3 linked regions of the Elephas maximus indicus genome follow. The protein of the gene in region 2 interacts with the protein of the main gene of each other region in a biochemical or structural test. Links are inferred from orthologs where the notes say so. Each region holds a gene or a part of one and is shown on either strand. Other genes may lie near its edges.

The links. The genes of interacting proteins can lie anywhere in the genome.
Region 1: of the proteins of LYN (region 2) and DOK1, one has a biochemical effect on the other in vitro, tested with the Homo sapiens proteins (2 studies listed by BioGRID, with this or other methods). The link is inferred for Elephas maximus indicus from reciprocal best matches to the Homo sapiens genes LYN and DOK1.
Region 3: the proteins of LYN (region 2) and KIT form a complex in vitro, tested with the Homo sapiens proteins (2 studies listed by BioGRID and IntAct, with this or other methods). The link is inferred for Elephas maximus indicus from reciprocal best matches to the Homo sapiens genes LYN and KIT.

Annotation. Positions count from the first base shown.
Region 1 is NC_064835.1:61,284,142-61,291,227, forward strand, and holds the start of DOK1 (docking protein 1), read right to left. Parts: upstream 3,019-7,086; 5' UTR 2,936-3,018; intron 2,769-2,935; 5' UTR 2,736-2,768; coding exon 2,676-2,735; intron 2,324-2,675; coding exon 2,024-2,323; intron 1,898-2,023; coding exon 1,804-1,897; intron 1,589-1,803; coding exon 1,404-1,588; coding exon of another isoform or gene 1,397-1,403; intron 1,179-1,396; coding exon 369-1,178; 3' UTR 1-368. Other genes in the region: LOXL3 (lysyl oxidase homolog 3), read left to right, coding at 5,063-5,354, 6,967-7,086. UniProt on the Homo sapiens protein: DOK proteins are enzymatically inert adaptor or scaffolding proteins. They provide a docking platform for the assembly of multimolecular signaling complexes. DOK1 appears to be a negative regulator of the insulin signaling pathway.
Region 2 is NC_064837.1:77,118,606-77,126,227, forward strand, and holds the start of LYN (tyrosine-protein kinase Lyn), read right to left. Parts: upstream 3,015-7,622; 5' UTR 2,932-3,014; intron 1-2,931. UniProt on the Homo sapiens protein: Non-receptor tyrosine-protein kinase that transmits signals from cell surface receptors and plays an important role in the regulation of innate and adaptive immune responses, hematopoiesis, responses to growth factors and cytokines, integrin signaling, but also responses to DNA damage and genotoxic agents.
Region 3 is NC_064823.1:106,781,805-106,789,231, reverse strand, and holds the start of KIT (mast/stem cell growth factor receptor Kit), read left to right. Parts: upstream 1-4,409; 5' UTR 4,410-4,459; coding exon 4,460-4,586; intron 4,587-7,427. UniProt on the Homo sapiens protein: Tyrosine-protein kinase that acts as a cell-surface receptor for the cytokine KITLG/SCF and plays an essential role in the regulation of cell survival and proliferation, hematopoiesis, stem cell maintenance, gametogenesis, mast cell development, migration and function, and in melanogenesis.

The DNA of each region.
Region 1 (7,086 bases), on a different chromosome or scaffold from region 2:
GGTTAGAACCAGGCACAGTTCAGCATTTCCCTAGAGTCTCCATACAGGCCCCTCAAACTGCACCTGTTCTCATCGTACACCCCTTTCTATAGATGTAGTCCAGCAGTTGTCCATTCCTTTGGGAGGTGGAGGGTTTAGGGGTGCTGGCCCTCCCCAGATCCCATCCCTCAGTTCCTGCCATCTGTTCTACTTCCTAGGACTTGTTGGAATTGGTCATCCTTCCCTCAACAACCCTAATCCCTCTGAGACCCTGGTCTCACACAGGAGCCCCCTGTGCCCTGCTTCCCTCTAGTTCTCACAGGTTTTGTTCATCCCCAGTGCCATCTCCCCATAGTCTTCCTATTAGCTCTGCCAGCCAGGCCTTACTCTCATATGGAGTCCTCTGACTGGACTCCAGTCCTACTGGTCTCTGCTCTGGAGAGCCCACAGTCCCAGCTCCCCGAGGCCCCATTCTTCTGGACCTGACTATACAAGGCAGTGCCTGAGTTGTGGCCTTTGCTGCCACTGCCAGTTTCAGTACTAGGTTCAAGGAAGACCAGGCCTTGGGGCTTGGGAGCTAGGAGAGGCTTTGCGCTCCGAGGGGGGGGCACAGCATAGTCATCAGTGGCTGGGTTGTAGGGGAGCTCGTAGCCCTCCTCCTTCACCCGAGCCTGGCACCACCATGCATCCTTGGGCTCTTGAGGCAGGTCATAAAGGCCTCGGGAAGGGGCTGGGGCCAGGCCCTCAGGTTCGTCATAGATGGGGTCTTCTTTGGGGTCCTTCAGGTTGGCCTTCTGCAACTTCTGCTGTACATGCTCATACAAGTCCCAGTAGAGAGGTTTCTTCAACTGCGCCCCGTCTCCTGCCCGAGCACGGGTGCTGTCCAGGGGGTCTGAATATAGGGAGTCCTGGGAAGGGCCTGGAGGGATGCGCAGGGAGTCTAGCGGTTCAGCATACAGGGATGGGGGGCTGCACAGGAGCTCCTGAGGGCCACAAGGAGGAGCCAGCTTCCCTTCTGCCACTTCTTCATGGGAGTCAGTTCTCAGGACATCATGCCCCTGACCAGCCTTTGCCTGGGCCTTCTGCTGACGGATGGCTGTCTCAACTGCCTGAAAGATGTCATTTCCCTGTGCCGTCTGGAAGGTGAAGGTTCCGGGGCCAGACGGGCAACGGCGGCCGGCCTCAAAAGAGAACATAACCTGAAGGTGGTATAGAGGGAAGCATCAGAGGAGGTGAGTCACAGGGCTGAACTAGGTAGGGAATCTGAAGATACCATCTGGGGAGCGGGGGTCACAGGGTAGGCCAAGAAGGGGGGTCCCAGAGAGCAGAGCTTCCCACCTTCCTGTCCTGTCCCACCCCACCAACAACTGCCCAACCCAGCAAGCCCTCTCTGACAGCCGTCCCTGACGGTCCTCACCCCCCACCTTGTCACGGCCATAACGACGCAACAGAGTGTAGGGCCAGTAAAGGAGGGGCTCCAGTTTCTGACTCTGGGTGCCCATGGCCAGAAGAGTCAGCCTCTCAGCCTCTGTCCTCAGCATGTAGGAGCCATGCAGGCCACAGCGTTCAGCAGCCTCAGTCCTCTGCACGGTCACCCAGAACTGAGATCCTGAAAGGAACACTAGATTAGATGCTTAAAAGAGTTACTGGGGACTAGGGTGAAGGAATGAGGACCCGGAAGGAGTCAGAAGCAGAGTGTCCTGGCACTCACTTGGAAGCCAAATCTTCCCTTCCCTATGGGTCCATGAACCCTCTAATCACTCCCTTCCCAAGGGCACTCCTCCTCCCCACTCCATCCCTGCCCGGACTTCTTGGGGTTTCTACCTTCCCAAGTGGGGCTATAAAGCGAGTTCTCCAGCATCTCCAAGGCAGAAAGTTTGGGTGGGTTTTCGGCAGGCGCCTGAGCCCAGCTGCCTTTCTGTCGTAAAGAGAGAGGGAGTGTAGAGGACCCCATAATCTCCCAGCGTGGCTCCCAGGGTCTGAGCCAGCCGGATGCATCCCCGCTTCGCCCCAGCCCCTCGATCGCACTCCCCGACCTCCTCACCGGAAAGGCATTTCGGCACAGCGTCTGCACCCAGGCGGCACTGGACCGCGCGTCCGCGGCCAACAGGTGGGAGCGCTGCGCTGTGTCCAGGCGGAAGGCTGCGGCGCCGGGCTCAGGGGGGCTCTCCACGGCCACGGGGACCACGCTGACACACTCTGCCAGGCGGATCACCTTGCAATCCAGGCGGCGCGAGCCCCCGCGGCCACCCCCTGAGCCCGACCCCTTGTGGTCAAAGAACTCGAGCCGGGCCACGCCGTTGGGGCTGGCAGGGTAGAGCACAGCCCAGGTCTTCCTCCACCTCTAAGGAGAGAGACACGATGGGGAAGGTGCGGGGCGAGCGCGGGCTGCCCGGGCCCCTACCGCGGCGGCTGAACGGGCTCAGACTGATTTGGCGTCTCAGGCTGATTTGGCGTCTGGGGCTTCCCGACCCGGGGCAAAGTCTCCCAAGGACGACGCCGCTCCGTCTCCCCAAGAACAAGGAGGACGTACCCCGACGCTTCTCTGGAGTGTGCAGAGCGACTTCGCGGGACCATCACCGGGCTCTCCAGCTCCCGGCGCCGCGCTCCAACCCGCGCCCGCTCCCTCCTGCTTTCTGGGCCCTTCCGCCCACCCCCTGCTCTGAAGGGGATCGGCAGCCCCTGGACCCCACTACCTTGGTCCCGAAGCGCTGACTCTGTAAAAAGAGCGGCCCTTCCATCTCAGCCCCGTCCATGGCCCCCGGCGGTCCCTTCGGCGCTTCCTGGCACTGCGGGCGGGAGGCGGGACGGGGCGGGTCGCAGGCGGGGCCGGACTCGTCAGAGGCGTTCCCGCCCTTCCCTGCCCCCGCGGGCCGCGACAGGGGGGAGGGAGAGGTGCAAGAAAGACCGGGGTCCCCAGATAAGCTGGGCGGCCGCACCACCTCCGGGCCCTTACCACGGCCGTGGGGCGCGCACAAGTGGCTCCGCAGAGAGAAAACTTCGGGTTTCGGCCAGACAGCCCCGGCGCCTGGGAAGGGGGCTGCGTGTGACGTCTTATGCCCTGCGTGACATCAGAGTGAAGGCCGTGACATCACCCCGAGAGCGCCTACGGGCACCCTGGGGCCCCAGAGGGGCCACGTGGGCCCTCATGGCCTCAGTTCCCCTCGCCCGGCCCGCCCCCAGCCCGGCCGGAGTCGCAGTGTTTACCCTCCGCGAGCCGGGGGCGTGGGGGAAGGGCTGGGGGCTGGAAGGCTTCCCGGAACCCCGAGCCCAGCGGCCTCCCGCCGCCACGGGGGCTGCCGCCCGGGCCTGTAGGCGGCCCCGCGGCCTCTTGCGTGTCCAGCTACCCGACCGCAGCTGTCCGGCCTCCAACCTGCGGGAAAAGAAAGCCTCATTGAGCGGGCCGGGAGGGCGTGGGGGGGAGGGGGCGCGGCTGCGGCCAGCTCCACCCGGGAGGGGAGGACCGAGAAGAGAAAAGGAGGGAACTGGCTAGGGAGGAATCCAGGGAGAAGGCGGAATGTGGGAGGGCTCAAGGGGATGTAGGAGGGACGAATGGGGGGGGGGGGTCCGGTCTCCCCTGTCCGAACACTTTTTTTTTTATCCTAGGACTGATCTCCGGGACCAAGACTCTTCAACCAGCCCCTAGATCCCTGCTCAGCCAAAGGTAGGGGAGTCAGGCTAGCCTGCCAGAGGAGGAACAGGGTTATTAGGGATGGAGAGGACGGTGGAGGGACCAGGGAAAAAGGATGGAGTCGAGGGGAAGCCAACCAACTGAGGGTTTTATTATTGTCAAAAAGGAGTGAGACACTAGAAGAGTGGAGAAATGGGGAGGCAGGGGTCGTGTAGGGTGTCCCAGATGGGGCAGTCGGGAGGACCTTGAGGCTAGGGGCTTGTCTGCGAGGCCTCAGCCCGGTGCCCCCAAGCCAAAATATTCTCAGAACAAAGATGTCTTGTTGGGTTGTTTATCTGGGTTGGGGGAAGCATGTTTCAGTGGGCCCCTCACTGTGGAGGGGCTGTTGTGAGCCCCAGACCAAGAGAGGGCCTTGGCTTCCTATCAGATCAGAGCATTGCCTCCCGTTGCTCGGTGACAGCAAAGGCGGCTCCAAGAACCCCACCCCATCCCCCTGCCCAGCTTGAGGCCCGGCCCTCCTGGGCCTCTTGACCCTGCCCTGCATCTGAGAGCCTGCGTGGTGGGAAAGGTGTACAGCGGGTACTCCTTGTGGTCTAGTGTCTGCCTTCCTTGCCTCTGGCATCTGGTACTCTGGGCTCCACTCCTGTTGGAGGAACCAGAGATCTGAGGGTCTTCTGGGTCCTCCTTGCCTGCCTCTCAGCGCAATCAGTGGAGCTGTCAGTCCCTCTGACTGGCTGAATGGAGTCATCAGGGTCCCTCCCACATCTGCTCCTTGACTCCTGTCCATCCCTCTCCCCCTCACCTGTTGCCTGCAGCTTTCTCTCTGGCACCTTAATTCTGTGTGCCTAGCATTCTCCCTGTCACCTTCTAACTGTCTTCACTGTGTCTGTCTCTCCTGCAGTCTCTTTCCATTGGTCTCCCTTTCACTCCCACACTCTCCCTTCCTCTCACATCCTGTCTGTCTGGGTCTTCCTCTCTGTGTGTTCTTGCGCAGTCTCCATCTCTTTATCTCTTTGTTTTGACCATTCTCTGACTCTTGGTCTCTAATTACTGTCTTTCAGTCTCTGGGTCTCTCGGGCTGGGGAGTAGGGGTAATGGAGATGATGATGGCAGAACTAGGGAAGGATGTTGTGGGACATAACAGCTGATGGTGAGGGTTTCAATATTTACAAAACGGTGGGGAGAGCATATACCTCTCCTCATCATCCCCCTCTTTCTCCTCCTCTCCCCAGTGTGGGCCTGGGTCTTTCATCCCTTACCTGTTTGACTTTGTGTCTCTGCCCTTGTTTAATATATTTCTGTCTTATTTAGTGTCCTTCTCTCTCACTGTCTCTCTATCTCTCTCTGGTATGTCTCGGTGTCTTTCTTTCGTGATATCTCACTTGGACTCTGGTCTTAACCTCAGCTTCTCTCTCACATTCCTCTCCCTGGGGCACCCAGGCCTTCCCTGCCATGCAACCTGTCAGTGTCTGGAAACAGAGTACGTGGGGGCTGCTGCTGTGCCTGCTGTGTGGCTCCTGTCTGGGGTCTCCATCCCCAGACGGAAACCAGGGGCTGCGGTTCCGGCTGGCTGGCTTCCCCAGGAAGCCCTACGAGGGTCGTGTGGAGATACAGCGTGCTGGCGAATGGGGCACCATCTGTGATGACGACTTCACACTGCAGGCTGCCCACGTCCTCTGCCGGGAGCTGGGCTTCACAGAGGCTACAGGCTGGACCCACAGTGCCAAATACGGTGCTGGAACAGGTGAGCAATGCCCCCCAGGAAGAGCCAGGTACCCTGACTGCCTAAATGACACCTAAGTGCAGGGAGAGGAGCACCAGAATGACACAACCACAGGGACACAGGACACCAAGAAGAGCTGGAGTCAAGAAAACCCATGAGTGACACCCAGCCAACACAGTCACTCACCAGAGCTGTGCGACCTTAGGCTGATCAGTTGCTTTGTCTGAGTCTCACATGCCCCATGTGTAAAAATGACTAGATGATCTATAAGTTCCTTTGTTTTGCAAAAGGGTGTGATTCTACAAAGCCATGCACAAGGGCAATTCAAGTACAGCTTGCTCCATGGGAGGCTGAGAGCAGGTAAATGATGTCTGAGTGTCCCAAAGCCAGAAGGGATCCCAGATACTGCTGCTGATAAAATCCAGTTACAGGCGACAGCTGAAACGCACAAACTGGAACTGAGTAAGGACAAGTAAAATGCCTAGGACAAGTCTAAGTGTGGTTGGTAGGGGATTAAGAGCAATTCTGACTGAGGCCTGGGAGTGCTTGCACTGTCTGAGACCACAGTAGGACTGATGGACAGAGTTGGTGCAACCTGACCCAATCCCCCAATCCCCACTGGCTAGACCACTTCTGAAATAAAGTGTCTACTCATAGATGTCAGATTTTTCAGAGACGCTAGAAAACGGAAACACTGTCAGAGAAGAACTACCCAGATGTCAGAGATTCAAAAGCCAAGTTATAAGGAAGCATAGCTGGAGAAACCAGCCATCTTTAATCTGGAAAGAAAAAGCCTTAGATGGCAATTACATGATGGTCATCTTTAAATATAGTAGGGTCAGTCATGTGACTGAAGACTTTTTCTGGATGGCATCAAAGGACTGAATCAGACTGACAGAGGAAAGTCTTATAGAATCACAAGGACTTTCTGATGGTTACAGTGACCTGGTGGAGGTAGATGTCCCAGTAGAAGCTGGGTAAGCCCTGTTACGGAATGCATGAGGGGGTCCCTGCACATTGGCTGGGACACAAGGCCTGTGAGGCTCCACCCAATTCAGAGAAGAAGTTAATGATATTCAGTGTGGTTCAGGCAGGGAGAACACCAAGTGGCATCACGGCAACACAGGCAGGGCAGCCACATGAGAAAATGTGTGAGTGAGGTGAAAGGATCTTTGGTTTCCAGGTCTCACAGACTGGGCCCAAACTCCTAAGCCTCCTCACGGCTGTGTGGCTGTGTGGTCTTATGCAGGTTACTCAACTTCTCTGAAGCCCAGTTTGTTTATATAAAACAGTGATAATATCTTCCAGGCAGCACTGTTCCAAGATGACAACATAGGTACAGACCCTGGCAAAGTGCTTGGCACAATTGTAGCTATCATTGAATGTGTAAGAACTGATCAGAACGTCCGTATCGATTCCTGTTTATTTGCCCTACTAAATTCTTGGGGCTCCCTCCATCAATCCCCCCTTCTCCCTCCACAGACTCCTGTTCCTTCCCCACCCATTATCTTCCCAGAAAAGTGAACTCATCATGGCCAGATGTGAAGCCCCAATGCTCATCCCTCCCACCAGCCCCATCACACCCCATTCTACCTCTCCAAGCCTTTCTGTCCCTCCATCTCTGCCTCCACAGGCCGCATCTGGCTGGACAACCTGAGCTGCAGTGGGACTGAGAAGAGTGTGACTGAGTGTGCGTCCCGGGGCTGGGGGAACAGTGACTGTACCCACGACGAGGATGCCGGCGTTATCTGCA
Region 2 (7,622 bases):
GTCACAACTCTAACCATTCACAGTTTCAAAACTACTTCCACATTTTAGGTGTCTCTTAGAGCAGCACCCCACTCCTGGTACCAAATTCTGTCTTGGTTATCTACTGCTGCCATAACAGAAACACAGTGGATGGCTTTAATGAAGAGAAATTTATTTTCTCACAGTCTAGTATGTTACAAGTCCAAATTCAGGGTGTCGGCTCTAGGGGAAGGCTTTCTCTCTCTGTCGGCTCTGGAGGAAGGTCCTTGTCCTCAATCTTCCCCTGGTTAAGAAGATTCTCAGGTACAGGGATCCCATGTCCAAAGGATGCGCTCTGCTCCTGGCACTGCTTTCTTGGTGGTATGAGGTCCCCAACTCTTTGCTTGCTTTCCTTTCCTTTTATCTCTTGAGAAATAAAAGGTGGTGCAGGCCACACCCCAGGGAGACTCCCTTTACATTGGATCAGGAAGGTGACCTGAGTAAGGGTGGTGTTATAATCCCACCTTAATCCTTTTAACCACAGGCAGAGATTATAATTTATAACACATAGGAAAATCACAAAATGAAGGACAACCCCGCATGGTCTAACCAAAAAAAGTTAACACATATTCTGGGTGAACACAATTCAATCCATTACAAGCTTATCTATGAGTAATGTTTTAATTTTTTTTTTTTAAGTTATAGTTCCATATATTAACTTGAACTAGCTGGAATCTCAAACCTTTTGATTTATTTCTGAATACATGCATAAATGGAACTGAAGGGCTGTGAAAGCTACTGATTCACAAAATTGTGTTGGACCACTTTCCTGCCAAAAAGAAACCGCTGAAGGCAAGAGGTGGGGAGAGGGATCTTCCAGAGTCTCCATGCACCTTTGGAACACCAATGACTATAAAAGGAAGTGGGTTTTTTTGATTGTGCAACCTACTTTTGCAGGAGGCTTATTTATTTTTAATGAAACACACCCTTCCCCTTTTCTGTATTGTGGTAAAGTATACATAGGAGGCATCTTCTTAAGACATCAAATCAAGATCTCTCTCAGTGATACAAAGGGAGGCCAGCCCTGGGTGGAGATTCTAACACATGCTCGGGTCACGTGACAGGGTCGACAAAGGACATAAATGGACCAGTGAGCTTCCAGGGCCTTCGGAACCAGAGTGTTCATTTCTCTCCATCTGATCTCAACCTTGCAGGTGACTGTCTCAGATCAGGCCCTTCCCTCCTCCTTTCAAGCACGTACTATGTGCAGACCCCAGGTCTAGCATTTTGGGCTGGATGGACGAAGCTGCACTCTCATGGAGCTTCCATTCTCCTAGTGAATGCACAGACCCCCAGTCTAGCATTTTGGGCTGGACGGACGAAGCTGCACTCTCATGGAGCTTCCACTTTCCTAGTGAATGCACACTATAAACATGTAACAAATTGTGATGCAACTTTGGTTGCTGCTATGAAGCAAATGTTGGCTGAAGAAACAGCCCAACTAACTTCATCCCAAATCACAGCTCAGCAAATGGCAGGTGAGACCAAAACTGAAGTTTCCTGGCTCTTGTTTTCTCTTCTCTGACATCGGCTAACCTCTACCCTGCACTCAGAAGAGGGTTATGGTCCTCTACATCCAAGGGGACCAGTCACCCAAAGCTTGTGATAAAGTTAAATCCTTCAAGCCTCAAGATGCCTATCTCCTTACCTGCAAATGAAAGCTGAGGCACTAACTGAACGCCACCCTTTCCCAGCACAGCTTACCTTAGTAAGGACTTCTGAGTGAGGAGTTTGAGTGCCTATTCCAGGCATCACTGCTTCAGGTGCTGGCCCTACAGAACATCCCTGCCCTCCCTAACCTTACTGCCAGCTGAGGGCAGACCACAGGCAGCGACTCAAAATCCTTTTTGGCTAGCTCTTATAAATCAGACCCCCGGTCTCTGTGCTGGAACAGCAAGTCCCTCGTGTATTTATTAAGCAGGTTTACTAGTACAGTTGAGTTTTCAGAGAGCAAGGACCCAGCATAAAAAGGACGGGTAAATTGGACGTGTGGTCTTGGGCTTAAAGCCATCAAATTGCAAAGAACCAAGGAGCCTCAATTCGATGGACAAAATTATTTGCAATAAATAATAATAACACCACTTAGGGAATGCCTTAGTAGGGTTTTTTTTTTTTTTTTTTTTTTTAATAAACGGCTAACAGGTGAGGAAAACGACGAACGGGATTTCAATAATTGGCCCAAGTTCACACACAGCTAGGAAATTGCAACCCTCGGATTCCGACTCAGGTTTCTGAGATGGTAAAGAAGTTGAGTGGATTTGGGGTACTTCAGGCACACACACTGGATATGCAAAGAATGAGAACCACACTACACACGACCACGCGGCGACTGATGGACGCTGACAGTCCACCAAGATAACGCCGCCGGAAAGTGGGAACTGACGCTTACACCCTGCCCCCAAGGCGAAAAAAAGGCAACCCCAGTATTCTTAAAATAACTCTCGCTTCCTCTCCGCGCAGGCACCGGCTGCTCCTCCGCGGGGCGCAAGGCGCCTGGCTCACGGGGAGGGTGCGCGCCGGCCCCGCGGCAGCCCCTCGACGTCACGTTTCTGCCCGGGGCCACCGAAAGGGCAGCTGCGCGAAGGGCCCCACCCCTCACCTCGGACGACCCCAGGGCCCTGAGCCACCGGATCCCTGCTGGGGGCCCGCTCAGCGCGCAAAGGGGCTTCCCCGCCGCACTCAGGGAGCGACCAGGGGGCGTCCATCCGCACGCCTCGCACCTCCCACCCCGCCCCTGCGCCGCCCGCCGCGAGACACCTGCAGAGCCGCCCGCCCCCGCGACCCGGCTCTCAGGCCCGCTCACCCTCGGGCTGAAGGCGCCAGGGCGTCCCTGTCTTCCAGGGCGGGGTCGGTGGAGCAGGGACCCGGCGCGCCCCCCAGCCCGCGGCCGGCCCGCTCGCTCTCACTACTCACCCGCTCGCGATGGAAGTTGGGGGGCGGCGGCCGAGCTCCACGGTGACTTCAGATCCAAGCAAGGGGCCCGACGGGGCGGTCGGATCCGGCCAGCGTGGGGGCGGCGGCGAAGGCGCGGGCTGGGCCGAGGGGCGCGGGCCGCCGCTGTCGCGGGCTGGGAGCTGCAGCGCGTTTGGCCCGGGGCGCCACGGCCGGGAGCTAGCTGCGGCGCGGGCCGGCGCGGCGGAGAGGAACTGGCGGTCGCTGGGCTCGGCCGGGAGTTCCCAGCTACTTCCTGGTGCTCGGATTTGCATACTGCGCCCAGAGGGCGGGGAAGTGACCGTTTGGCCCCTGCCCATAGCTCGGGGCTTCGGTGTGGCCATCGCGCAGAGCTTTGAAAGAAAGGAAACCTGGCGTCCCCGTGGGTGGCAGGGGAGATAAGAGCAGCCTCAGGTCCAACATCCTCTTATAGAGACGGACCAAAGGATCTTCCAGGAGATTCTCTGAAAATCCAAGCACATGCTCGAAACTTCTATCGTCTCCTTCCTTTCCTCCAACCTACTTCCCCAAATGTTAGGAGATGGGGTGCTGCTGGGAGCAGAGGGAGCGAGCTCTCTCTAGAGAGGAATAGATATAATGAGTAGATGCTCAGAGTCTCCCTGAGTCAATAACTCAACACAGAGCAAGCTCCTTAAGGTGTAGGCAGTGATGTTCAGGGTATTGATTGGGGGGCCCAAGGAGTGGTGGGAAGGAGAGGAGTGCGGGGGCAAGGGGGCTGTAGAGTTGAACGGACAGGAAATTTTCTCAGGTCCTCAAATCCTCAATTTCCTCACAGGAAAACAGACACGAATGGCATATTGGGAGAATAAGCCAGCCTTCTGTGAAGGGCTGAAACTGTGTCTAGCATATGATGATGGTAGTGTTTCCTTCTTAGCGTCCCTAGCCTCCCACACACATCAGGTGCCTCAGTGTTTGCTGTAATAATGACTACCTCTCTGAGCTCAGGCTCCAACTCAGTAAATGCCGTTTACAAATCCACAATCAATGATCGCTTATTCTAAGGACTCCATTCATTAGAATTCCAGTTTTGCACTACATTGTAAAAACTACAAGGAAATAAATTACACACTGTTAGTAGATGTGCTCTTTGCATTAATAATATCCAACACTTACATAGGGCCTAGTGGGCTTCAGAAGGAGCCCTGGTGGAGCAGAGGTTAAGCACTCGGCTGTTAACCAAAAGTTCAGCAGTTTGGACTTGCCAGCAGCTCTGCAGAAGAAAGATGCGGCAGTCTGCTTCCTTAAGGATTGTTTTTGAGGCAGGGCCAAGATGGCAGGGTAGCCGGATGCTTACAGTGATCCTCTTACAACAAAGACACAAAGACCCCCCCCCAAAACAAGTGAAATGATTATGGCAAGCTAGGAGCTCCGAACATCAAAGGCAAAGTTAGAAAACAGACTGAGTGGCAGGGGGCAGGAGACATAGTTGAGAAGCTGCTAGGGTTGCCAGACCTGAACCTCCGGGAACCCTCAGGCACCATTCCCTGTAGCGACCGTGGCAAGCTGGTGCAGTAGCATTCCTGACGTGGTTTCCTCAGGGAGAGACAGCAAGCCACACAGCTTACTCACACCTCCAGAACCAGAGAAGAATGGGTGCTTTTGGCAAAGCTAAGTGTTTGTGTTTATTTTACCACACACACCCGCCCCTCCACCTCCCAGCCCCCAAGCTGGCTTCAGTGGCTGTCGATTTCTCTGGGCCTGAGATAGGTTCTGCTGTGCACTCTGATCCGTTCTCCCAGTCTTGGAGAAGGAATAAATTAGCAGATGGGGGAAAAGATAATCCGCCAGCTACACTAAGCTGGGAAGCTCAGGACAGGAGCAGCTCTTGTTCAGGCACAAATGCTCCACAGACTTTGAATACTTTTCACCTCTGCACGGACCTGTGTGGGCCCATTTCAGAAGAACAGGCCCTTGTTGTCAGACTGCAACTGCTTCAGCTGTGTGGCAGAGAGGTGGGTGTTTGATGTTTGACACTGCTTTGCCTATTAAATGGGGTCCTCACCTACCCACATTGGTGGCCTAAGGACTGGTGGTTACACCCACATCACCTAGCCACCCACAAAAGGGGTCCAAGGATAAGAGGTACCTCCCAGTCTTTACAACCAAAAGCTGGGTACCCATGGTCCTAGTGCAGAACCCACCCAACCATGCACTCTAAGGAACAGGCATGCACTTTCCTCACAGACACCCAGGGAACAGTTGTCAGCCCCGTGCCTTGTTCAGAATGTGACCCTCTATGCAAACAGATATCTGTACCTACATCAATCACCCCTGCACCTCTAAGACTTTAGGACAGAGCCCGTACTACACCCTTGATGACCGACTACTGGACACCTGAGCTGAATCCATATAAGAAAAAGGAATGGACTCCTAGATTCATACACCGGGTAACATCTCTAGCCATCTGGTGACAGGACGCTAGAGCTTCAAAGGTGAAAATAAGCTAGCTCACTCAAGCAGTCTGTTAGGACATATCAAAATAAAACTAAGCAAGAAGCTAGGATACGCTAAGCAAACATAAACTAATACAATAACTTATAGATGGCTTGCAGACAACAGTCAATATCAAATCACATAAAGAAGTAGACCAGATCACTTCAACAAGCTCTCAAAACAAGGAATCTTGTGAATGAAGGTGTCTTCCAGGAATTACCAGATACAGAATACAAAAGATTAATATATACAACTCTTGAAGACATCAGGAATTAGATCAGGAAAAATGGAGAACAGGCCAAGGAACACAAAAATAAAGCAGGTTATTCAAGAACATAATGAAAACTTTAATAAGCTGCAAGAATCCACAGAGAACCAGCATTCAGAAATTCAGAAGATTAACAATACACTTACAAATTAGACAACTCAATAGAAAGTCAGAGGAACAGAATTGAGGAATTAGAAGACTGAAGAAAAAACACTTGGCACCAATACATTCAAAGAAAAATCAGATAACAGAATTTTTAAAAAATGAAGAAATCCCATGAATCATGTGGGACTCTATCAAGAGAAATAACCTACGAGTGATTGGAGTACCACAACAGGGAAGGATAACACGAAATACAGAGAGAATTGTTAAAGATTTGTTGGCAGAAAACTTCCCTGATATCATGAAAGATGAGAAGATATTTATCCAAGATGCTCATCAAACTCCACATAAGATAGATTTCGAAAGAAAGTCACCAAGGCATATTATAATCAAACTTGCCAAAACCAAACATGAAGAGAGAATTTAAGAGTGGCTGGGGTAAACAAAAAGCCATTTACAAAAGAGAGTCAATAAGAATAAGCTCGGACTACTCGGCAGAAACCATGCAGGCAAGAAGGTAATGGGTTGACTTATATAAAGCACTGAAGGAAAAAAATTGCCAGCAAAGAATCATATATCCAACAAAACTGTCTCTCAAATATAAAAGCAAAATTAGGACATTTCCAGATAAACAGAAGCTTACAGAATTCGTGAAAACCAAACCAAAACTACAAGAGATACTAAAGGGAGTTCTCTGGTTAAAAAATCAGTAATATCAAATATCAACCCAAGACTAGAACACAGGACAGAGCAACCAGATATCAACTCAGATAGGGAAATCACAAAAATAAATCAAGATTAAAAAACACTCAAAACAGGGAAACAGCAATGTTACTATGTAAAAGAAGACAACATTCAAACAATAAAGAAGGACTAAGAAATATTTTTTTTTTAAGAAATATAGTCATAGATCTTTCATATGGAGAGGAAGTCCAGGTGATATAAAGAAAGAAAAGTTAGGTTTAAAGTTAGAAAAATAGGGGTAAATTTTAAGGTAACCACAAAGGAGACTAACAAACCTACACATCAAAATAAAATACAAGAAAAAAATAAAGACTTAACAAAAACAAAATCAACAACAACAAATAAGAGGAAAAGAAAATAAATATTCAGCACAAAAAATTAAGTGGGAAAAAGAAACTGTTAACAACACACACAAAAAAAGACATCAAAATGACAGCACTAAACTCATTAAAAAAAAAGTTTTTTTAAAAACTCATACCTATCAATAATTACACTGAATGTAAATGGACTTAATGCACCAATAAAGAGAAAGAGAGTGGAAGAATGGATTTAAAAAAACATGATCTGTCTATATGCTGCCTGCAAGAGATACACCTTAAACTTAGAGTCATAAACAAACTGAAACTCAGAGAATGAAAAAATACATATCAAGCAAACAACAATCAAAAAAGACCAGGAGGGGCAATATTAATTTCTGACGAAATAGACTTTAACATTAAATCCACCACAAAGTACAAGGAAGGACATTATATAATGATTAAAGGGACAATCTACCAGAAGAATATAACCATATTAAATATTTTTGCACCCAGTGATAGAGCTGCAAGATAAAAAAACTCTAACAGCAGTGGAAAGTGAGATAGACAGCTCCGCAACTACAGTAAGAGACTTCAACACACAACTTTCAGTGAAGGAGAGACCATCCAGAAAGAAACTCAATAAAGACACAAAAGATCTAAATGCCACAATCAACCAACCTGACCTCATAGACATGTATAGAACGCTCCACCCGACAGCAGCCAGTATACTTTGTTCTCCAGTGCACATGGAACATTCTCTAGGATAGACCACATATTAGGTCATAAAGCAAGTCTTAACAGAAACC
Region 3 (7,427 bases), on a different chromosome or scaffold from region 2:
TCCTCACAGTAAAGTACGCTAAAAGTCCAAATTTAGGGTGTCAGCTCTAGAGGAGGCCTTTCTTCCTCTGTCGGCCTTCTCATCAGTCTTCCCTTTGACTAGGAGCTTCTCCATGCAGGGACCCTGGGTCCGAAGGACGCGATCTACTCCCAGTACTGCTTTCTTGATGGTATGAGGTCCCCCTGGCTCTCTGTGCACTTCTCTCTTTTATATCTCAAGAGATTGCCTCAAGACACAATGCAATCTTGCAGATTGAGTCCTGCCTCACTGACACAACTGCCGGCCATCCTCCCTCATTAACATCACAGAGGCAGGATTTACAACATATAGGAAAATCACACAATACCGGGAATCATGGTCCAACCAAACTGATACACACATTTTTTGGGGGACATAATTCAATCCACAATAACCCCCAACATTTCCGGGGTAGACATGTGACCCAAGCCTGGCCAAGCATTATATCTTGTCCCTCTGGCCTCCTTGACTGGTTTTCAATGTGCATGTGACTTAAACCAGGCCAGCAAGACCCAGTTTTAGTGCTTTTATAAACCTTTGCAGTGAGTAGATTCTGACTCACAGCAACCTTATAGGACAGAGTAGAACTGCTGCATAAGGTTTCCAAGGAGCAGCTGGTGGACTCGACCTGCTGACCTCTTGGTTAGCAGCCATAGCTCTTAACCACTGTGCCACCAGGGCTCTAGAGTTTTTATAGGAACTGTTGATGGGGCAGAGAAGTTCTGCTTCCACTGGTATTAGAGCTGAAACCTAGAGCTGCCCGAGTGCACAAGAGACAATTAAACAACAAAGAAAGTATTGTTGAAAGATGGAGAAATGTATGTATGTGTCTGTACACACACACACACCACCCTCAAGTCCTGCCGACTCTGAGTTCCTGGATCTAGGAATGTCTAGAACTAGCACTGTTCCTGGACTGTCCAGTTATAAGAGCCAGTAGATTTTAGGGTTCTTTGTTTGCTTATGCCAGCTAGAGCTGGGTTTCTACAAGTTGTAATCAAATGTCCTCATTGACACAATTATGAAAACTATAAAATACATCCTATATAAGATACAGAATATTTGCATCATCACAAATGGTCCACTGAACAGTGCTGATCTATAGTATAGTTCAACCCCATAGCTGTTCACTCGCTGTAGTTATACATGTCTGATTTCAGTACACAGCTAACAAACCCAAAGGCCCAGGTACTGGAGGTTGTCTGCTGTGCCCTGCACAAAGCCTAGATCTAAGGAGATTGAGGGCATCTCAGGGGAGAGGTAGGGGTGAAGGGACACTTAGGAAGTGCTTAAGGCAGTGGCTTTTTTCCAATCAGTACAGAAGGATTTCAATATTCTACTAACCAATATGGCTAAATTGATGTGTAACGGCTGAGTAAGAGCCCTGTTAGCAGATATTATAGTTTCTTATTTGGATGTTTGTTTTTCCTGCTGGACTGTGAATTCCTCTAAGTAGGGATTTTGTCTTACTCATTTTTGGAGGCCTAGTGCCTACTGGGAAACCCTGGTGGCATATAGGTTAAAAGATACACCTGCTAACCACAAGGTCAGCAGTTCAAATCCACCAGGTGCTCCTTGGAAACTCTATGGGGCAGTTCTGACTCGATGGCAACAGGTTTTCAGTAAATGTTTGTTAAATAAATGAATACAGATGACATTCTAGCATTATATAATCCCCTTATTCCGATTTTTTTTTTCCCCCTGATGGAAGTTTCCTTCCTAGAATTAAATTGCAATATGGTCTCTTTTTACCCACTCTTCTGAAGACTTGTACTCTCCAATATCAGTTGATTGAAGAAAAAAATTATAAATTTTCTCTCTCAGGCACAATGTTGATATTTTAACTCATAGTAATTTTTTTTCTCTTACAAAATGGATTTGAGTAATAAATCAAGATCCTGGAAATTTATGATTGCCTCAAGTGATATCTTTGATCTGTCATCTTAAGAAAAAAGTATGGTCTGATGGGCCAGAGCACAAACAGAGACCTTCTGAGTTTCAGTTCTCCCACAGCTGTGTGACTTAAACCATTTGCTAGGAGACTGGGATGTGGGTTCCCACATATAATGATAATGACTGTGAGGGCAGGCCCACATCTGGCTATTAACTATTGTACTCCTGCTACCTTGAAGGAGCCCTGGTGGCAAAGTGGCTAAGAACTCAGCTGCTAACTAGAAAGTGGGTGGTTAGAACCCACCTGCCACATTGTAGGAGAAGGATGTGGCAGTCTGTTTCCTTAAAGATTTACAGCCTTGGAAACCCTATGGGGGCAGTTCTGTTCTGTCCTATATGGTCGCATGAGTTGGCGATTGGTTTTGTTTTTTTTGGACTCCTGGTACCTAGCTTCTCCCTGCCTCACAGGTGTTTTTGTTAGGTGCTATCTAGTTGATTTCAACTCATAGCAGTCCCATGTGACAGAGTACAACTGTCCCATAGGGTTTCCGAGGCTGTAATCTTTATGGAAGCAGATCGCCAGGTCTTTCTCCCCTAGAGCTGCTGGGTGGGTTCAAACTGCCGACCTTTGGGTTAGCAGCCACGTGCTTAACTTTTGTTTCACGGTTGTTTTTGTTGTGTGTTGTAGAATCGACTATGACTCATAGAGACCCTATATGACAGAAAACTGCCCCATAGGATTTTCTAGACCCTCAACAAAATGCATTGACACAGTGGCTGTAGCAATGGGCTCAAACATAGCAAGGTTTGTGAGTTATGGCGCAGGACTGGGCAGCGTTTAGTTCTGTTGTACATAGAGTCACTATGAGTCGGAACTGACTCGAAGGTGCCTAACGACAACAGCAACAATCTTTATGGGAGCAGATCGCCAGGTCTTTTTTCCTTCAGAGCTGCTGGTAGGTTCAAATCGCTATTAGGTTAGCAGCCCAGATCTTAACCACTGCTTTGCAGTGGACAACAATAAATGTTTGTTGAATGAATACATAAATAAATTTAAAGAGAAGCAATTATACATATTGATCATTTGATCATCCTCTAGTAGTGATAATTTTTAAGTGATTAATTTAAGCCAATTTAGGTTATGTCAGCATCAAACAGGAGAGCTTTCAACATTAAATGAAGTGGGGATCTGGGCAATTATAAATTTTGGATGATACTTTAGAGAGGAGTCTAGGTGTACCTACATTGTTCTATAGCTTTTTTCTGATGGGCACTTCCCATTTATTTTCCATTCTTAAGCTCTGGGGAAAGTGGGGGGAGGATGTTTGTCTAGTTCATCAGAAGGCATAGGGAAAGCTCATCGTAACCTGGAGTCAGTTTTAAGATTAGGGTTCCAATCCTGGTCTCCCCTTTATTAGCTGTGTGATCTAAGGCGACTTTTAGAAATAAAATAATAAAGATATCTGCTCTAGCTACCTTATAAAGTTGTTATTGTGAGCATGAAGTAATATTCAGCATGGGGAAGAATTATAAAACTCTATACAGATATTGTTGTTACATTTCATTCAGGGGCGCCACCATAAGCAGGTGGGCGAAGCACTTTCTATGCAAAGGGACCTGGGTTAAAAGTATCATTTTACTATCATTTTGAGCCTGGCACGGGCTGGAGCAGCTAAGAAGAACGCAGGGATCCTCAGCCCTGTAACTGTCGTGATACAGACGCAGAGAAACTGCATAGAAAAAAAAAAAAAAAAAAAGGCACCCAAAAGGCTTTGCACAAGGATTGGTGCAAGTGGGTTTAAAAAATCAGGTTACCTGAGCAAACTTCGCAAGGCGCCCTTCCCCACTCCAAGGCCGCAGTCTTCAGAAAAGTCTGAGCAGGGGGTTGTTGGGTGGAGGCTACGCCGACCAATAGGGAACCAACTATGCTCTTACAGGTAACGGAGCAGGTGGAGAAACTGAGCATAATTACCTAAACTCCCTTTTAGCCTTTTACCGCGACGCCAGGCGCCACGCTAGGTCCCACTTGTCTAACAGGAATGGGGAACAATGTCGGGGTCCAATTTACTAACCACCCCGCTCCCGTCCCGGAACCACTTCCACCACCAGAAGTGTCCACGCCCTCCCTCATGAGTATGCACGAAGGCTGGCGGCCAACCTTTATTGTTTGGGGAACACCTGGCAGGTGGTGAGCCCTTGCCCTAAAGTGCGCTGGTGTTCGGCTTCACAAAACGCACACCCTCGTCCAGGAACTGCCTCCCGAGCCTCTACCACATTACAGAGGAGGAGAGGTGGAGAGATGTAGGGCTCGGGGGTCGAGACCCTGGCTGCGAGGGCCGGAGTGCCCTCCCCCGCCCCTTGGACACAGCCCCCAGGGATTAGCCAGTCGAAAGAGGTTGGGGCCAGCGACGCTAGAAGGGAGCGCAACCCATGCGGGCGGGAGGAGGGGAGGCGAGGAGGGGCGTGGCCGGCTCGCAGGGGGAGGGCACTGGGAGGAGGGGCTGCTTCTCCGCGCTCAGGCTCTGGGGGCTCGGCTTTGCCGCGCTGAATGCACTTGGGCAAGAGCAGGAACGTGGAACAGAGCTCAGGTTCCAGCGCAACCACCGCGATGAGAGGCGCTCGCGGCGCCTGGGATTTTCTCTGCGTCCTGCTTCTCCTGCTCCGCGTCCAGACAGGTGGGAGAGCACGGCGGACACCCCGGACCGCGCCCCCCAGGGCAGCCTATGCCCGACGAAGGGCTGAACATACTGGGGTGTGTCGGGAGAGGTGGCTGTTGGCCTTTCAGGTGCCAGGCGTTTTAGCCTGCGGGAAGATTCGAGGCGTCCCCGGGGACTCTCCTGCGCCCTGCCTTGCTCACCTGCGCAAGAAGCCCCCAGTCCCTGGTGCTGGGGCCACTGAGCTGGGAACCAGAAATGAGGGCAGCGAGGGGGCTGAGGGTGAGCGAGGTTGCAGGCTGAGGGCAGCCGAACTGCATGCGAGTTTGGGATTTCTTTTGTGCCGAGGGTTCGCGGGTGGTAGAGGCGGGCGGTCAGGGGTTCGCACCGAGCGCGTTATCTCTACCGTGCGAGGTGCGGCCACAGCTTCCTTTTGTTAAAAGTTGCGTGCGTGTGACCGGTACCCCAGAGGGCCGGCCGGCAGGTTCTCAGCCTTGCGTAGGGTAAAGTTCGAAAGCCTTTTTTTGCTCTGTGGCTGCTGCTTTCCAACCACGGGCGCTCTTTGTGCCTGCCCAGAGATAGGAACCAACGCGCTACCGCCTCTACTAGCGGCGAGACCGGTGGAGACGAGTCGGAGGCGGCTGTGCTTCCCGGCTCCCTGGTTATGCTTTTGCAAGCGAGGCGCGCGGCGTGCGGCCGTGGGGCCGGACCCAGGGTGCGTGGAGGTGGCGACGACAGGGTCAACTTGGGCAGGGCGTATAGCAAGCAGCCGCTAGGTTGCAGACTTTTTGCTTTTGTAAATCCCGTGCCGGAGGCTCTCCCCTTTTTGCCGCGATGCCGTTTCATCCTTCCACGCGCGCCGGAGCGGCTGGAGGCTGCGTTTGCCGCCGGCTCCCGGGGAGACAGGGACAGCGCGCTGGGGCACTGCGATCCACGACCCCAGTAGCCGCGCGCGCCCAAGGCAGTGTCCCAACAGGCTGGCGGGGCCCTGGAAGCCCCTCGTCTCGGCGACCTGTGATCGCAGCTCCCAGTTTTCTTCGGGAATTTTGAGATTCGCTGCACCCCTTCCCACGTAGTATTAATACTTCAGAGCAGCCTGAGGTGGGGGGTGGGAGATGGAGTGGAACTTTCTGCAAATTCTCCTTGGTTCTTAAAGCTGTTATGGAAATCCAGTTATATCCGCGCGGGAACTTGGGTCTTAAGGTGGGGAAGGATTTGCAGATTCCTGGACCGCTTCCTGACTCCTTTTTTTCTGGGTGTCGCTGGTACACGCGGCCCTTGCGGGTCGCCTGGGTAACCCCCTGAAGCCCTTTTCTCCCTCAGGTCATTTTTTTTTTTTTTTAAATCATTTAAGATTACCCTGATGATGTAAGGATAGAAAGTGAGTCTGAACTGGAATACAAGGGCTCCAGAGAAAGCATCGCAATGAACTATGGTGGGCTCTGTCGACTACCGGTCGTTTCTCCATAAAGTCTCAAGACGCAGCTTCCCCCTCCCGGTCCGAAAGGCATTGTGAAGGCTTTCCTGTCGGGGAGGAGAGGCCTTCCATCTGGACCCCTGTGAAGTAGGAGGGATCATGAGTCAGGGTTCCAATGCCTTGGAATTGACTGCCTAGCTAAAACGACGTATGCGGTTGTTACGTTCTTGTGTCTTATTTTATTTTTTGATTTCAGATAGGGTATGTGAACTAGACCCGAGTACGGTTCCAAGAAAGACAGGCCTCATTAAACATTTCCCTTTTTTTTTTAATTAAATGAATCGATTGTTTCCTTCTTCCCCATAATTCTCCCGCTTCATCCAGCAGATGTTTGGCAAAGGGAATTTTAAAGTCTGTGTCTCCTGGGGAGCACTGTGGTGTAGTGACAAAGCCTTGGACTTCCAATCTGGTTCGTTTTCTCTGCCATTCATTGGCTGTGTGCCCTTGGGCAGGATGCTGAAATTCTTGGGGATCCCAGTTTCCTCTGAAAGTATAATGAGGCATCCGCCTCATGAAGGTTCCTTTGAGTCCAAAATTCTCCTCCAGAGTTCTGATAGTCAACTGAGCATCTTTCTCAACTCTCTCACTGACCCCTTCCAGCTGTCTGGAAATTTCTTTGCTGCTTCTGGTCACTAGGGCCGCTTGGTGTGACCTACCTGTCTGCCCTTATAGTTTACGCTACCCACTCCTCTGCTGCCCTACAGTTTGCCTCTGACAGCTAGGAGAGGTGCCAACTCTCTAATGCCACCCCCTCCCTCCTCTAGTATTTACAGCTCCTATGTCAGGCAGGATGAACCTGGAAGGAATAGTGAATCATACCATCCCCTTGTTCCTGCAGGTGTGAAGCCAGAGTCATCGCCAGCAGCTGGACACAGGGCATGCTGGATTATTATCCTGCTGAAAATAATATGACAGTTTTATGGAGCGATCCCAGATAACTCATTTAATCCCATTCTCCTTCCTACCCATCCACTCATTTTTTCCTATGACTTTATAAATCATATATACTGGGCTTCTACAAAGCACGTTTTCTAATGTGCCCTAAATTTCATATTACATAAACTTGCTGCCCTTGAGTCGGTTCTGGCTTATAGCGACCCTATAGGACAGAGTAGAACTGCCCCGTAGGGTTTCCAAGGGACAGCTGGTGAATTTGAACTGCCAACCTTTAACCAGCCACCAAGCTCTTAACCACCGTGCATGTGTGTTATAAAATAGTTGTTGCTCTTTGATTAGAAAATGTGTGCCAGGCACTGTGCTGGGAGCTTTGCCTGTCATTTCCAATCCTCTCAGCAAGTCCAGGAGGCAGTACTATTACACCCCCAGCACCTACAGCTGAAGAAACTGGCTCAGGACAAAACACTTGCCCAAAATAATCAGTGGTA